Linked DNA regions of Drosophila melanogaster. The protein of the gene in region 3 interacts with the protein of the main gene of each other region in a pairwise test. Each region holds a gene or a part of one and is shown on either strand. Other genes may lie near its edges. The genes, in order: Gos28, BomT2, CG17991 and CG1572.

What was found.
Region 1: the proteins of CG17991 (region 3) and Gos28 interact in a two-hybrid assay, tested with the Drosophila melanogaster proteins (one large-scale study listed by BioGRID).
Region 2: the proteins of CG17991 (region 3) and BomT2 interact in a two-hybrid assay, tested with the Drosophila melanogaster proteins (one large-scale study listed by BioGRID).
Region 4: the proteins of CG17991 (region 3) and CG1572 interact in a two-hybrid assay, tested with the Drosophila melanogaster proteins (one large-scale study listed by BioGRID).

The regions. Positions count from the first base shown.
Region 1 is NT_033777.3:18,661,789-18,665,846, reverse strand, and holds Gos28 (golgi SNARE, 28 kDa), read right to left. Parts: upstream 2,110-4,058; 5' UTR 2,052-2,109; coding exon 2,030-2,051; intron 1,965-2,029; coding exon 1,780-1,964; intron 1,239-1,779; coding exon 850-1,238; intron 780-849; coding exon 677-779; 3' UTR 540-676; downstream 1-539. Other genes in the region: CG31231 (uncharacterized protein), read right to left, coding at 1-393; Cpsf73 (cleavage and polyadenylation specificity factor 73), read left to right, coding at 2,392-2,459, 2,516-2,677, 2,740-4,031. UniProt on the Drosophila melanogaster protein: Involved in transport from the ER to the Golgi apparatus as well as in intra-Golgi transport. It belongs to a super-family of proteins called t-SNAREs or soluble NSF (N-ethylmaleimide-sensitive factor) attachment protein receptor.
Region 2 is NT_033778.4:18,387,164-18,389,986, forward strand, and holds BomT2 (bomanin tailed 2), read left to right. Parts: upstream 1-1,831; 5' UTR 1,832-1,936; coding exon 1,937-2,000; intron 2,001-2,066; coding exon 2,067-2,233; 3' UTR 2,234-2,280; downstream 2,281-2,823. Other genes in the region: BomS3 (bomanin short 3), read left to right, coding at 1,022-1,073, 1,145-1,212.
Region 3 is NT_033777.3:27,239,639-27,242,833, forward strand, and holds CG17991 (uncharacterized protein), read left to right. Parts: upstream 1-1,628; 5' UTR 1,629-1,693; coding exon 1,694-2,578; 3' UTR 2,579-2,692; downstream 2,693-3,195. Other genes in the region: PolA2 (DNA polymerase alpha subunit 2), read left to right, coding at 1-1,465; CG18766 (uncharacterized protein), read right to left, coding at 3,072-3,195.
Region 4 is NC_004354.4:11,554,515-11,560,256, forward strand, and holds CG1572 (uncharacterized protein), read right to left. Parts: upstream 4,124-5,742; 5' UTR 3,974-4,123; intron 1,925-3,973; exon of another isoform or gene 1,896-1,924; intron 1,833-1,895; 5' UTR 1,787-1,832; coding exon 1,670-1,786; intron 1,598-1,669; coding exon 1,412-1,597; intron 1,282-1,411; coding exon 1,102-1,281; 3' UTR 536-1,101; downstream 1-535.

The DNA.
Region 1 (4,058 bases), 8.6 Mb from region 3:
CTCCTTGTCCTCGTCTTCCGGCATCTCCTCAGATTCTATTGGAGCTTTAGCCAACGCAGCCTTCGCAGCCTCTTCCTCGTCTTTTTTGGCAAGCCTTTCCTTAATTCTCTGGAGCTTTTCGCGCTTTCGTTCGTCGGCGGTAGCAAGACCCTTGTGTTTAGCTCCAGACTCCTCCCCTTCCTTTGAGGCTTCGTCATCCTCGGCTGGCAACACCGTTTCGCCTTCTCCTTCTATTTGATCTACGTTAGCTGTCTCACCTTGGATTTCTGCACCCTCCGCCGCTTCCGCGATCGTTACTAGTTTGGGAGCATCCTCCGCGGCTGGAATCTCCGCGGGTGGAATCTCCTCGGCATTGTCTATGGGGGCAGCCTCTTCTGGTGCATTTTCAGCCATCTCTGTGCAATTGAAGTCGTTTCAATAACGTAAATGTTTTAAATGTTTTGGGTTTCTTTTTGGTATATACATAAGTTGTTATGTTTGCTGTTTGCCTAAAATTATTAACTGCTGCTTGAGATTAGAATCAATGGCTGTTGGGTTTTGTCTTATATAGTACATTTTATTGCTATCACAAGTTAATCATACACATATACCGTCGGAAAAAACAAACTAAAATTCAATTGTCTGTAATGGAGTTTAATGCAAGCTCTATCTTTGGCCAAATCGCGGTGGCGGGTCACTAGTTGAAGGCGTAGAGCAGCAGCAAGATCACACAGAAGCCAATAACTGCTCCCAGGATCAGCGAATCGCGTCGCTTTTTAATGTTGATGCGCTGAATGAGACTGTGCATATACAACAAATAATTGGATAAGTAAATATGCATAAATTGAATTGAGAACTCGTCTGTCTCACCTGGAAATCAGTGGGAATCGATTGGAGATATCGTTAAAGCGGGTCTGCAGCCGCTTGAATGCTTGTCGCTGGGCGTGAAGATGGTCACGCGTCTCAATCGCGATATTTATCTGATCGTTGACCAAGTGACTGGCGCTGTTGAGGTGCCCGCTCTCCTTCAGGTACATTTCTCGCCGGTTTAGGCCCGAGATGGATGGACTGCCGGAGCTGGTGGCCAACCCTGAGCCACGAAGCAGCTCCTCTCGCTCGATTCGCATTGTGTGATTGGCGCAGATCTTATTGAACTCCTGGCGATACCCCTGCAGGATCTCTCGATGCCTCTGCAGTGTGTGCATGGCGGCTGCTCCAGAGGCGGGCAAATCGGACATGGACTCATTTAGCGAGGATAGCTGCAATTAAGAAGGATGAAATAGAAATGAAATCCTTCTATTCTATAGAAATTCTATAGATATGGGAATTGCCTAAAAAACGTAGATAACTTAACAAGCAAAACAATTTGAACATTTTGTGCTTCAGTCGGTGACTCATTCATTACTTGGAATTATCTATTAAAGTATTTATCAAATGGAATTCATTTAGCGAATTCAAAGAGGAATTCTTAAACATTTTCTTTTAAAGAATTTAGCAAAGATCAGAGCATAAAAAAAACTCGAATAATAAAGTATAATATATATACAGATTCATAAAAAATTGGAAAGTGATGGAATGTTTTCAATATATATAAGTTAATCGTGGCAGTTTTTCAATTGTGTGCTCAATTCTGCCAATTAAATTATGATTTTTGGGAAGGCTTAGTGGGAAATTAGTAATTCATAGTAGCACAAAGCCGGTGGCACAGAAATTTGCTTAATAAATAAATAAGGAATCCGCACTACATTGTTTCGGGTTTAATCCCTGCACCATCGCATGGCATTGGGTCACATATCGCACCTTCTCCAGCATTTGCTCGATCTCCTCCGACAGCGAATCGAAGACGTGCTCGCCCAGGAGCGGCGATGTGTCAACGCCTCCTAGTCCTCCACTTCCACCTCCTCCACTGCCAGCTCCGATTTTGCTGAATGCCACCAGCTTCAGGTCGATCTCGTTTTCCAGGCTCCGCGCCTGCTTCCTGAGCACTGTGCGGGAGGTCGAGAGGAGAGATAGCTTATATGGAAGGTAACCATTAAGTCCCACTGCTCACCATCGTAGCTGGATCCTCCCATTTGTCAAAAATAGTTTTCCTTTATTTGTTCGACTTTCGTGTGGCAATCGGTGTGACCAGGTCAGGCGGGGCCCAAGTGGAATGAGTTGAGAGTATCGGGAAAGATTAATAGCCAGATTTAATCTAGGCCCTACTTAATGAACAAATGTTTACGAGAAAATTAAATTGTCCTAATAACTTAATGTTAATGTAAAAGGAAAAAGTACAATGTTCTTTTCCAGCCCTTGTGTGAACAGGTCCATACCGGCAGTCATCAAACTTTGGTCACACTGCCGTGCACAGCGTTTTGTTGCCGGCGATTTGTAAAAAAGTTTGTTATTGATTACATTATTTTAGACATCATGACGCAGGCAACAGGTGATGCACGCATGCCAGACGAGGAAAGCGACCTGCTGCAGATCAAGCCACTGTAAGGAATCTTGATTTAAACCAGATAGAAGCTCAAGGGTAACGCTTATATTTCAGTGGTGCTGGCCAGGAAGTGGGACGCTCCTGCATCATGTTGGAATTTAAGGGCAAGAAGATAATGCTGGACTGCGGAATCCATCCGGGATTGTCCGGCATGGATGCCCTGCCCTACGTAGATCTAATAGAGGCGGATGAGATTGATCTGCTGTTTATATCACAGTAAGTACTGCGGCGATTAAATGGGCATTGAACTTTTAATGGTGAATGCTTATATTTATCAGTTTCCACTTGGATCACTGCGGTGCCTTGCCTTGGTTTCTCATGAAGACCAGCTTTAAAGGCCGCTGCTTTATGACCCATGCCACGAAAGCCATTTACCGATGGATGCTGTCCGATTACATCAAGATCAGTAACATATCCACCGAACAGATGCTATACACGGAAGCCGATCTGGAGGCCTCCATGGAGAAGATCGAGACGATCAATTTCCACGAGGAGCGCGATGTGATGGGCGTACGCTTTTGTGCCTATATTGCTGGTCATGTTTTGGGTGCCGCCATGTTCATGATCGAGATTGCTGGCATCAAGATCTTGTATACTGGTGACTTTTCGCGCCAGGAGGATCGACATTTGATGGCTGCCGAAGTGCCACCGATGAAGCCGGATGTTCTTATCACAGAGTCCACCTACGGCACTCACATTCACGAGAAAAGAGAGGATCGAGAGAATCGATTTACCTCGCTGGTGCAGAAAATTGTTCAGCAAGGCGGGAGATGCTTAATTCCAGTATTTGCTTTGGGCCGTGCCCAAGAACTGCTACTTATTCTGGATGAATTCTGGTCGCAGAACCCGGATCTGCACGAGATTCCCATCTACTATGCCTCCTCTTTGGCCAAGAAGTGCATGGCTGTCTACCAGACGTACATCAATGCTATGAACGATCGAATTCGACGACAGATAGCTGTGAACAATCCCTTCGTTTTCCGCCACATTTCCAACCTGAAGGGTATCGATCACTTCGAGGATATCGGACCCTGCGTAATCATGGCGTCGCCGGGTATGATGCAGTCGGGATTGTCGCGAGAGCTCTTCGAGAGCTGGTGCACAGATCCCAAGAACGGAGTGATTATAGCCGGTTACTGCGTGGAGGGCACTTTGGCCAAAGCCGTTCTCTCCGAGCCGGAGGAGATCACCACACTGTCGGGCCAGAAGCTGCCGCTCAACATGTCCGTCGACTACATATCGTTTTCGGCTCACACGGACTACCAGCAGACCAGTGAATTCATCCGCCTACTAAAGCCAACGCATGTCGTGCTCGTCCACGGCGAGCAGAACGAGATGTCGCGTCTGAAGTTGGCCCTGCAGCGGGAATACGAAGCAGATGCAAGCACGGATATAAAATTCTACAACCCGCGAAACACACATGCCGTGGATCTTTATTTCCGTGGCGAGAAAACCGCCAAGGTGATGGGAAGCCTCGCAGCCAAGAACTCGGAGGTGGGAAGCAAACTCTCAGGTGTTCTGGTTAAGCGCGACTTTAAGTACCACCTCTTGGCTCCTTCTGATCTGGGCAGTAAGTAATAGTTAGTTAGTTTCTTTG
Region 2 (2,823 bases), on a different chromosome or scaffold from region 3:
ACATATTAAATATGATCTTTAAATACTTGCTATTGAAAAAACTTTCTAAAGGCTCCAAAAGGCACGCCTCTTATGATGGACATTACTCATACGCACTGTTGCACGCATATTAACCTTTTCTTAATTTATTTGTATATACTATACTCTAAATTCCTATAGCCTTAAATGACGAAAAATAATGTTATAATTTTATTTTTGATGAAAACTATATAATTATTTCAGAATATAGATAAGAAAACTTGTTATTTAATAAAAATAAATGAAACTGTATTTAAAATTCGAAAAAATTACCATTAGGTGTCATTCTAATTTTAAATAATTTTGGTATTTAGTAATTGAAAGAAGTAAGAATTTAATTATAGAAATAATTGTTTTTCAAAATACTTAAATAAAGTTGAGCTTTATGCCTGAATTTCATTTTAAATTATTTACATAGCCATATTGACTTTCTTACAAAAAAAAACTATGACTCCCTGCCAATCCAAAACCATAATCTTTCCAAGTACCTTGGCTAACCTTTTTTGCATAAAACTTGCTAATAAACTGTGTGCTAATATGACAGTTTATTGATTCGGCGGAATTGAACGCATTAAAACGGGTTCGCAATACTGGGAAAAACGAATCGCATGGGGCGCCGCCAAGTCAAATGGAATCAGGTTTGCAATCTGGCCACCTTGCACGTGAATAGAATCGCGTTCTGGACCAGCTTGGATTTCCCTCTTCCAATCGCGCAGCTCGGGGCTATCAGTCTGCACTTGTTTACGCTCAATTTCATTGAGAACGTCGCACCGCTGCACTCGGGAATTTCTCGATGGAGGTGTTGGCTTTGGCTTGAGCTTGGGAGAATCCCAATCTCGGCCAGACTTTTCCCGGTGTCGCTGCCAGTTGGTTGATAAGACAGATCGGTACACTTGGCTGCTCTATGACTATATAAAGCGTGTTGTTCTCAACACTTAGCATCAGTTGTCAACGGCTAATACGCGGGAGTCAAGCTCAGAATTCAACCACAAAAACCAACAACATGAAATTCCTATCACTCGCCTTCGTTTTGGGTCTGCTGGCTCTGGCCAACGGTGAGTAATGCCAACTATTTACAAACTAAATAAGTTATTTAATTATGATTTTAATTATATTTCCAACACAGCCACTCCCCTGAATCCTGGCAATGTCATCATCAATGGCGATTGCCGCGTCTGCAATGTGAGGGCCTAAGGGCAGCGGAGAATGAAGGATGCCAGTTGAAGTTCACACAGCCACACATATTTTTAAGTCGAAAATGTAATAGAAATTCCTAGAATCAAGTGCCCATATTAAATATATTCCAAACAAAACAACATATTATTTGTAATGGGGAAATATTATTGATTTCTATAGATAACAACTGAAAGGCAGTTGAGGTTCAGGCAAACCACTTAAATGTATTCCAATTGCAAAATGTATTACAAAGTTCTAGGAAAACAAACTATGAAACAATCACTTGTCATTAAAAGACGCTTAAAGTCAGCTTAATATTTGTTATTTGTTAGTTTAGAGATCTGGAATGAGAAACAAATTATTGAAAATGATCTTAGGCGATGGAGAATACCGTATTTAATTCAAATAAATGTTTTAAAGACTAATACAAATTTTATATTATCATATTATGATTTGATTAATTACATTATTATCCAAATAGATCAGCCTTGCTACTGTATGGTTTAGCAATAAAATCGATACAGCTTACCGATTTTTTGTTTAATAAATAACAATAATTAAACAACTAATTAATAGGCACTCCTTTCCAGACATTTCTTTAAAATAACTATGTAAAATCCCGCAAAATAATTATAAACAATTATATATATAATATAGCAAATACTATATGTACTATGGCATATAAAAAGCAGAGCACTCGCACTTTGGCAGTCAGATTTATTCGAAATCCCCAAGGAAAAACATGAAAGCTCTTCAAGTCGCCGGAACTTTGATGCTGCTTTTCTGCCTGCTGGCAGCTGTTAATGGTAATTATTTAATGAAATAATAAAATATATATATGATATTTTTAGCTAATCATTTCCTTATTGCAGCTACGCCGGGACAAGTGTATATCAATGGGAAATGCATTGACTGCAATAAGCCTGATAATGATCCGGGAATTATAATTCCTCCAGACCATAAATCAGCTGGATCCATGTCTTACACACTCACATCTGGAGCCATCTTCTTTGGAATTATATATCATATATTCAGTTAAATTACTATGTAATCAATAAGTTAATAAAATAATATCTTTTATTTCTCAAAAAAAAACCTTAAGCTTGTGACAAATTGCGAACTTAAATACAACCCTTATCACGTATAGATTTAGTCACATATTAAAACTGCTATTTAACAAATCCCAACTTTATGGGTATTTAAATTGCATTTAGATTATAGCAATTGCATATTAGATTAAAATCTGTAAATTTAATTTAATTCCCAGCTTTGTTTAAACCGCTAGGAAGCTTTAAATAATTTAGCTTTAATTTTTATATTTATTCATATTGATTTTGGAATTAGATTTCCTATTTGAGACAAATCTACAATAATCTATTATTATTTATATTCGATTGATTGATCGCTATCGCTTTATTTTGTTTTGCCATTGTTCTGAATGTACATCGCCTTATCAACATTTTTTTTTGTAGGGCATTTCCAGACTGGGCACAACTTTTGTGTGATTACAACAGCTGAGATACGTACTATCCGGGAAAAACCTGATATTTAAATTTCATCATAAAGGTGCCTATAAAAGAAAACCAATGAAGTGAATTTTTATCAGTTTCATTTCAACCGTTGCCAACA
Region 3 (3,195 bases):
CTCCGCTCTGCACACGCCCAAGGCCAAGAAGCAGTCGGATCGGACCGCCAATCTCAAGGGCGCCGCACTCTTTAGCCCCGCCAGCTATACACCCCAATCGGCAAAGAGGAAAGCAGGTTTAGAAACACCATCCAACTCAGTGGCCGGCAAGCCGGGCGATATAGTTGACACCTTCGGACATCCCAAACTCCTGGCTGGCTCCAGCTGGCAGTCACAAATGGAGCACACGGTTCCGGTGACTCAAAAACTGCTGCACAACGACGCCCCGCTGACCATCGCAAATTTGGGCTACATGAACGACCTGCTGACCGACCGATGTCACAACCTGCGCGTCCGCTTCAACCAAACCGGTCCGGCACTAGTGGACAAGAAACTTGGACAAGCAGGCGCAGCCGAGTGCATTTGGTATCCGCAGGATAGGCAGGTATTGCAGTCCGCAGGTGGACTCCACGCGGTGGGAATGATTCATTCCGAGGACGATGGCCCACTGGACGCCCACTCCGCATTTATGGCCGTTTTAGATGACGATGTAGAAGATGAAATGGACCCAACGCTCACGCTCAACTTCTCCAGGGTCAAGTCTGCCAGCATATTCCCAGGTCAAGTGGTGCTCGCCAAAGGGTTCATACCCAGGGGCAAAACCTTCATGGTAGAGGAGATACACACAGAGCGCAAACTGACGCCAGCAACGCCACTGCAAATAGACAGGGAGCTTCAGTTTGTGGTGGCCTCCGGACCCTTTACGGACAGTACGGATCTCTTCTACGAACCGCTGCACGACCTGCTCAAGTACCTCAAGGATCACAGACCTGACGTGCTGGTGCTCACGGGACCATTCCTGGATGCCGATCACAAGATGGTCGGCGAACTGGCCGAGACCTTCGATACATTCTTCGAGAAGATGATTGGGGGAATAATGGAGTCGATTGGTAGTCACACAGCAGTGCTGGTGGTGACCAGTCAGAAGGATGCCATGGCTCTTTCCGTATATCCAACGCCGCCGCCCGCTCTGCGCAGAACCTATCCAAATCTATACATGCTGCCCGATCCATCTCTGGTGGACTTGGATGGCTTTACGCTGGGCGTTACCTCAACCGACGTGGTGGACCACCTGTTGAGTCACGAGTTTGCTGTGAATGCCGGCGAGCGGATGCACAGGGCCATCAACCACTTGTTCCACCAGGGCTCCTTCTATCCTTTGTATCCGCCGGCGGACGAAGACATGGCCTACGATTCCCAGCTGGCGTTGAAATATGCACAGCTCAAACAGCTACCAAATGTGCTCATCTTGCCCAGCGATCAGCGGCATTTCATCCGCTTGGTCAACGACTGCCTGGTGATCAATCCCGGCCGTGTCGCGGACAAGAAGGGTGGAACTTTCGCCCGATTCCTGGTGGCGCCTTCGGTGCCGGGAAAGGCGGCCAACATGTTCAACAGTGTGGCGTGTCAAGTCCAACGCATCTAACCTGACCACTTTGTGATGATGATAAGGAAAGGATAGTGGGAAATAGATCAGTACAATATTATTAGTTAATATAATGAACACACTACTTTGTCATAACTTTTCACAAAATACATTCAACAACAAACAACTAGCATTAGTTATTTTGGGCCAAAGTAGGTATTGTATTATTTGTAAACATATGCCCTGGAGTTTTCTCAGACTCAAGTTTTATATACAACAAGATCAATAATGGCTAGCAACGTTGCTGCGCCACAAGCTTCAGCTGGAGGAGATTCGACGGAACTGGAGCGCTGTTGCTGGATCTGTTTTGAGACCGATAAGGAGGCAGGTCGCCAGGCTTGGGTGAATCCATGTCTCTGCCGAGGAACCAATAAGTGGGTGCACCAGAGCTGCATTTCCCTCTGGATCGACGAGAAGACCCGAATAAACAACAATCTGCAAGCCGTTTCCTGTCCACAATGCCAAACGGAGTACACCATTGCATACCCGAATCTCTGGATTTTCGATAGGGCTTTGGAGCTGACCAACGATCTTATCCTAACAAACTTATATAATTGCCTGGCCAATGTCTTCACGGTGGTCTTTGCCTATTGGTCAGCGGTTTCATTCGGAGCAAAAACATATTTGCAGATCACTGGTCAGGAAGGTCACGTTCATCAAATAATTCAATCGGGAGACCTGTTGGTTGTTCTGGTCGGATTCCCATTAATCTCGGTAGTTCTGATACTTGGACGCTTAATTCCCTGGGAAGATGCCCTGTTGCGCTTCATTAGAATATGTTATTCATTGCTGCGAAGTCTTTCAATGATGTGCCTAGGACGGAAATATGACCACCAGACCGAACCATACCCTTCTGCGCCAATGACCGAATATTCAGCATCGCGGGTGGTCTGTGGAGCCATCCTCTTGCCCACCATATCCATGTACGTGGGTAGAGTTCTTTACAGCTCTGTCGACGATAGATTGCAACAAACTCTTCTTGGGGGATTGACTTTCATAGCGATCAAGGGATTCCTCAAAATGTACCTCATGCATAGCCAATACATCTGTCGTATGAAGCGTCGTGTTTTGGATTACACGAAGGAAAACCTAGCGGAGGCAGACGGACACTAGGTAAACTCAAGATCTGCAAGAGAAGCAAGAAGTAATTTGAATATCTATTTAAATTGTAAAGTGTACAATTTTCCTAAGACTACGTGTCAATAGTGCATTCTTACTACCAATCATAAATAATCGTTAAAGCATTTATTAATTTATGCATAATAGTTTACAGCTAACAGTAGGAAATGGTGTCTAAATGTAATGTACTCCCTAGGATCTCTATGCACGATTGATCGATCCAGCCCCCTCTTTACGGAAGTCAACTCTGTATCGAGGGCGCGATCGTCGAGAACTAAAACTCCAATGTATATTTTAACTATACAAAAAATACTGTATGCCGTGTGTGTGTCCAATGAACTTGGCCGCAACTCAGATGCGGTTAAGTAACTGCGCGCCACCTTAAGTAATCCTCGCCTAACGTCTCACTTCGTTCGGCTTCTGTGCCTGGTTCCTGGAGCTGCGTCGTCCAACAACTCGTTCAGTTGTTGGGCTCCTGCTTGTATTGTTATTGTCGGTTGTTCACCCCCTCGGGATTGTGGCTGCTGACCATGCTGTGCTCCATGTTCTTCACGATCACATAGTTGGTGATGTGGTTGATGGCCTCGTCCTGCAGCCGCTCCGGCCAGCGC
Region 4 (5,742 bases), on a different chromosome or scaffold from region 3:
CAGCAGAATGCAAAATGCAGCCAGCAGCGAATATAATTAAATGTAATTCTTTTTTTTTTCGATAATCATATCTTAATGCTTGATATACGAGTTGTATTTATTAGGCGAAACGTTTGTGTGGTCGGCGATCGAAGGAGGGTCAGTTAATTGTTAAAGAAAAATGCTTAATTTATCGTAATCGATTACCCTTTTCTTTTATATTTAATACTTGCGTGTACTTCTCTTAATTACTATGATTTTTTTTTTTAATACACCTAAACCACTTATTTGTGTTTACTGTATATGTAAATTAGTAGTTAAAGGCGAGGGCTTTATGCCCATCAACAGATAATAAAAACTGCGCCAGAGGGAGCGAGAAGTGTGTTTTAATTATTATTAGTAATTAGTAATTTCAATTGATTTTTTGTGTTTAGAGAATCTATTTCTATGAGAAGACAAACAAAGATGCAAATTCTATTATATATTATATTATATAGTAATTATTTTATAGATAACTAATTTAAAATATATTCAATAAAAACCATAAAAATTACCACCACGTTTTTTCTATTACTCTTTGGTATTAAATTAAATGAAATTATGATTTCATCGAATTTATATATTTGCTTGCTAACAGCAACATTTCCCGCATGGCCCAAAAGTATGCAACACTTTTTACGATCGGTTCAAAATCAAAAAGTACAAAGTACACTGGCCAACACAATTAAAGCATGCCGACAATAAAAAACTATTGCAGCTGAAGCAACAAATAAACAAACTACTACACATTTAGAAAAAACATATAGACACACATCTTTATTCGAATACATGACAATCTGTTTGGTACAAAAGAAAGTGAGACAAAAAAAAAGTTTTGTATATATCGGTAAAAGTACAAGTAAGTGTAACTAGCGCCAAAGAACGTTTCACAGTACAACAAAGATTCCGCCGCTTGGCACCCACTTTCTCTACATCTATGTTTGTATATCCCTGGGCTCTCGCCTCCTTCTCCTGCTTCGCATGACCAGTGGCTAGAGTTGGTTGTGGGAAGAACAAATGCTTCGAGATTGCAAATTCCACTTGAATGGCCGAGTGGGCGGTGGGTTTTGGGTGCTTTAGTGCTTAAATGCCGCGATAGGATCGGTGGGCCAGGAAGGCGCTGATGAAGTACAGCACCGCATTGACCAGGCCCAAAACACCGGCTGCCATATAGGCGTCGTGCTTTACATCGCGCAGCTTGAGCAGCAGGATGGTGGACGAGACCAGGATCAGGATGGCGGCCACACTGTGGTAAATCAGCTCCTGCAAAAAGGTTAATGGTCGTTGAAATGCACGGATTGCAGATACAAGGCGAAGTATATATATGTACGTTTGGAGTTCCATGGCTAATACTAAAGTATACAAAAGATATAGCAATGATGATTATACTCACATAGATCGTCTTGGCAATAATGCCGCCCGTGCTGAGCGACGTGAGGCAGGCGAGGAGTAAACAGAACGTTCCTATCATAAAGGTAACGGCCATCAGATAATGGAACAGATCCTGCTGGCCATAGAAGTATCTGTGGTAGTCCTGGTAGTTGAACGCCAGAATTCCCACAATGGAAGCACCAATGATCTGCGCAAAAAATCGTGATGGTTGTTACATTAAGTTCAAAGTTGCTATCGAATTCTGGGAGCATTAACGCACCAGCTCGAAGAGCTTGAGGATGCCGGGGAAAGTCTTCAGATAGCCCGTGTTCAGGACAATGTAGGAGGTGTTGGTGGTGCTGGTGGTGGTGCGGGTAATGGTCACTGAATGCGACATCTTCGCTCTGCTTCGGTGGTTCTTTTCGGGGGGTTAAAGGTGGGGTCTGCAAAGACAAATAAATAAATGAATAAACACAAAAAAAAAGTAAAATATTGGATGCTAATACCAATACAGAAATATAAGAAACTTCGGTGATAAGAACTGAAATTAAATAATAATACTTATCAAATTGTAAATGCTTAAAATTCGTTGAAATAAGCCAACAAATTTGCTGGTGATTCATGCAAAGTATATTTGCATCCATGTGTTAATTTATGGTTTAATTATTTGATTAAAATGAGTAAGTCTTAGGTTCTTTTTCTTTCACTTATATTCCCCGAATATCGTAATTCATATGGTGTGTTTTTATTTATTTATTGCTTTTTTTTTTTGTATCTTTTGTACTTTTTGGCCAGCTGTTACAGATCGAACGCCCTTGCCACGCCCATCGATCTGCAATGTATCCATACAATGTTTGTGTATTTTTGGCCATCCATTTGTTGCTGTTTTTGTTTTGGATTTTTGCTTTTTGTCTAATTTTAAAACAATTTTCAATGCCGGCCTCGCAGGCGAAAAAGCGCCAAATGCGTTATTGAAGCAGTGGGAGAATCGGAAAAATCTATTTACTTGACCGACGAGAGAAAACCCCCCCGCCCCATACAGAACCACTCCTCTCCCCCCGCGCAACGATTTCCCCCCTTTTTGGGGATCGGCAGCGAACAAAATAGATGAATCGCTCTCGTCTATATGTTCACCTAGGATTGGATATATGTAAGTCTGTATGTATGTACATATATGAATGTATGTAGATATGTATGCATAAACGTCATGAACTTTATGGTCTGCTGCCTGCTGTTCGTTGTGGAAAAGCTGAAGGAAAACTGAAGAAAAGCGCCTCGTTCGTAATTGGGACACACACACACACACACACACACTTTAAGTATACAGATGCCGTGGGTGGGCATAATGGTTATAGGGTATTCGCAAATGCCGTGCCAGATCTGGAAATCAGATTGTGACTATAAGTTCTGACTTCAGATTTGACGATTGGTAATCAAGCCGAATAACATTGTAGGCAAACAAATAAAACCAGTTTAGCTTAAAACAAATAACAAACGGAAGGATAGTGAGATTAATTCCAAATTAACTGCTCTGCTATAGCTATATTTGCTATATTTGGCTTAAAACAAACATGAGTTAAATAAAAGCCTTGTAAGACCCATACAGAGGAGTTGAAAATCGTAACTAATTTTATATTCTTGATATTTTAACTAAGCAAGGAAGAGATCAATTTAGAAAATACCAACGAATTATATTGTTTTAGGAAATGTGCTCATACAAGATTGATGGCAATTGGAATGGGGTTGGATTTCAGAACTTAGACCTTCCTCAAAATCGGTGGCGCATTAGACGAGTTCAAAAACGATGACGCCACCGGTGACGCAATAGTTTACACACAATGTGAATGATGCTCATCGAAATTCACAAAAGTGGTAGAGGCACATACATACACATACATATATACATATGTATATCCCAGTGGCATGGAAGGGGTGCGGCCCAAATTCCGAAGCGTAATACCGAAACCAAAAACCGAAAACCAAAAAAAAAAATAATAATAAGAAAACAAAACAAAGCAAAAACCAAAATAACAAGAACCCATGTGCGACATTTTATCGGAATTAAACAAAATACATTCCGAATATTGATTAGATGGCGGATTTCCGCCGAAAAGCGGTATGATATCATGCCTATGATGTACGATAGTTTAATTCGCATGCCAAGCAACTTGGCCCAAGCAACAGGTTGTTGTTTTGGGCCCTTTAAGATTCCTCTTTGGAACCGGAAGAGATGAACAAAGACGCCGCTTTTGTCAATTTCCCAAATGACAACAACTAATCAATATACATATGTACCAAAAGGCAAGCTATCAAATGTTCTGCTGATAAGAATATTTCCCCACTGCAAACGCGACTCACATTCGGTTTCGCATTTTCAACTCTGGAAATGATATCATCGCCGTCAATAATAATGCAGTTTAATGCTTGTAGGAGAAAAAAAATTAACAACATATTAATGCACAGCCAAGTACCGAGAATTCCAATTCCTTTTGCTTTTCGAAATGTACAAAAAAAATATATAAAAAAAAAAAAAAAACAATAAAACACACATATAGTCCCAGCGGTAGAAATGGGTGGTATGTACCTCTTTCTCTCTCTGTATATCTAAAGTTTTCGGTATGGATCTTACTCTTACTTTTCTCAAAATTCGGCGTAGGACTCAGCCAACTGGTTTTCCTCGCACTTTTCTTTCGACTTTTGCGTCTTTTCGCGCGCACGTTGCAAACGAAACTGAAACCGAAACTGAAAAATAAAAGCGTTTGGCCCGCTGCCTCTGCCACAGTTTTCAGCGTCGCAGTCGACGCAGCCGAGACGAAAACAAAACAAGACCCAGCAGAAGCCTTCCAGGCCGATTTACTGCGACTCGACTTGGGGGATACCCTGCATCACTTAGAACACTTCACAAGCGAATTAGGTTGGTAGTACAAAACATGCATTGCAATTTTTTAAATATGTCGCTTTTTGGGCCAAAAAATGCGAAATAATGGTCCAAATATGGATTGTTATACCTCGTTGAGTTCGTATTCAAAATTCTACTCAAACTGTGTTTAAAATTTGGAATATTAATTTTATGCCATTTTTCGCAAATTTTGATGATGTTACCCCTTACCAAAAATGCGAAAATCGACCCAAAAATTAATTTTTCAAAATCCATCAAAAAGTGATAGAGATAGTTAGTAGTGGTAATTAGCTGCACAAAACAGTCATTCCTGCACTTTTATGACCATTTTTAGACAAGTTATGATAAAAACACGCTTTATTTAAATCGTATTTTTGGCCGAAAGTCGTTTTCCAGATTTAAAGGAAGAAAATATTTAGTTTTTTGGCCACAACATTGGAAATAATGATCCAAATATGGATTGTCATACCTCGTTGAGTTCGTATTCAAAATTCTAATCAAACTGTGTTTAAAATTTGGATTTTTAATTTTTTGCCATTTTTCGCAAATTTTGATGATGTTACCCCTTACCGAAAATGCGAAAATCGACCCAAAAATTAATTTTTCAAAATCCGTCAAAAAGTGATAGGGATAGTTAGTAGTGGTTTTTAGCTGCACAAAACAGTCATTCTTGTACTTATATGACCATTTTTAGATAAGTTATAAGAAAACACCCTTTGTACATATCGTATTTTTGGCCAAAAGACGTTTTCCAGATTTAAAGGAAGAAAATATTTAGTTTTTTGGCCACAACATTGGAAATAATGATCCAAATATGGATTGTCATACCTCGTTGAGTTCGTATTCAAAATTCTAATCAAACTGTGTTTAAAATTTGGATTTTTAATTTTTTGCCATTTTTCGCAAATTTTGATGAATACCGAATATGCAAAAATCGACCCAAAAATTAATTTTTCAAAATCCATCAAAAAGTGATAGGGATAGTTAGTAGGGGTTATTAGCTGCACAAAACAGTCATTCCTATGCGTTTATGACCATTTTTAGACAAGTTATGATAAAAACACCCTTTGCATAAATCGTATTTTTGGCCAAAAGACGGTTTTCAGATTTAAAGGAAGAAAATATTTAGTTTTTTGGCCACAACATTGGAAATAATGACTGGTCTATGCCACCCGGATGCGTTTTCATCCAGGGTATCAGCAAGGCAATTCAGCCAACAACGCCAACAAGTTGACTTGACTGCTGGCTAGCGCGGTATAAATGACGCCTGACGTCATGATGTCATCGAGTGAGCGGCAGAGCAGCCAAGCAGCGGAGCGGCCAACCTTAATATTTGTAATCTTCAAGTGCAACTAGGCCCCCGGCCACGCCCCCTTGACACTGTTCATTGGCCGCCCACGGATTGGCAATTAAAAAGAAAGGAATTAAACTTGCTAGTGGAAGCTCCTCGGACT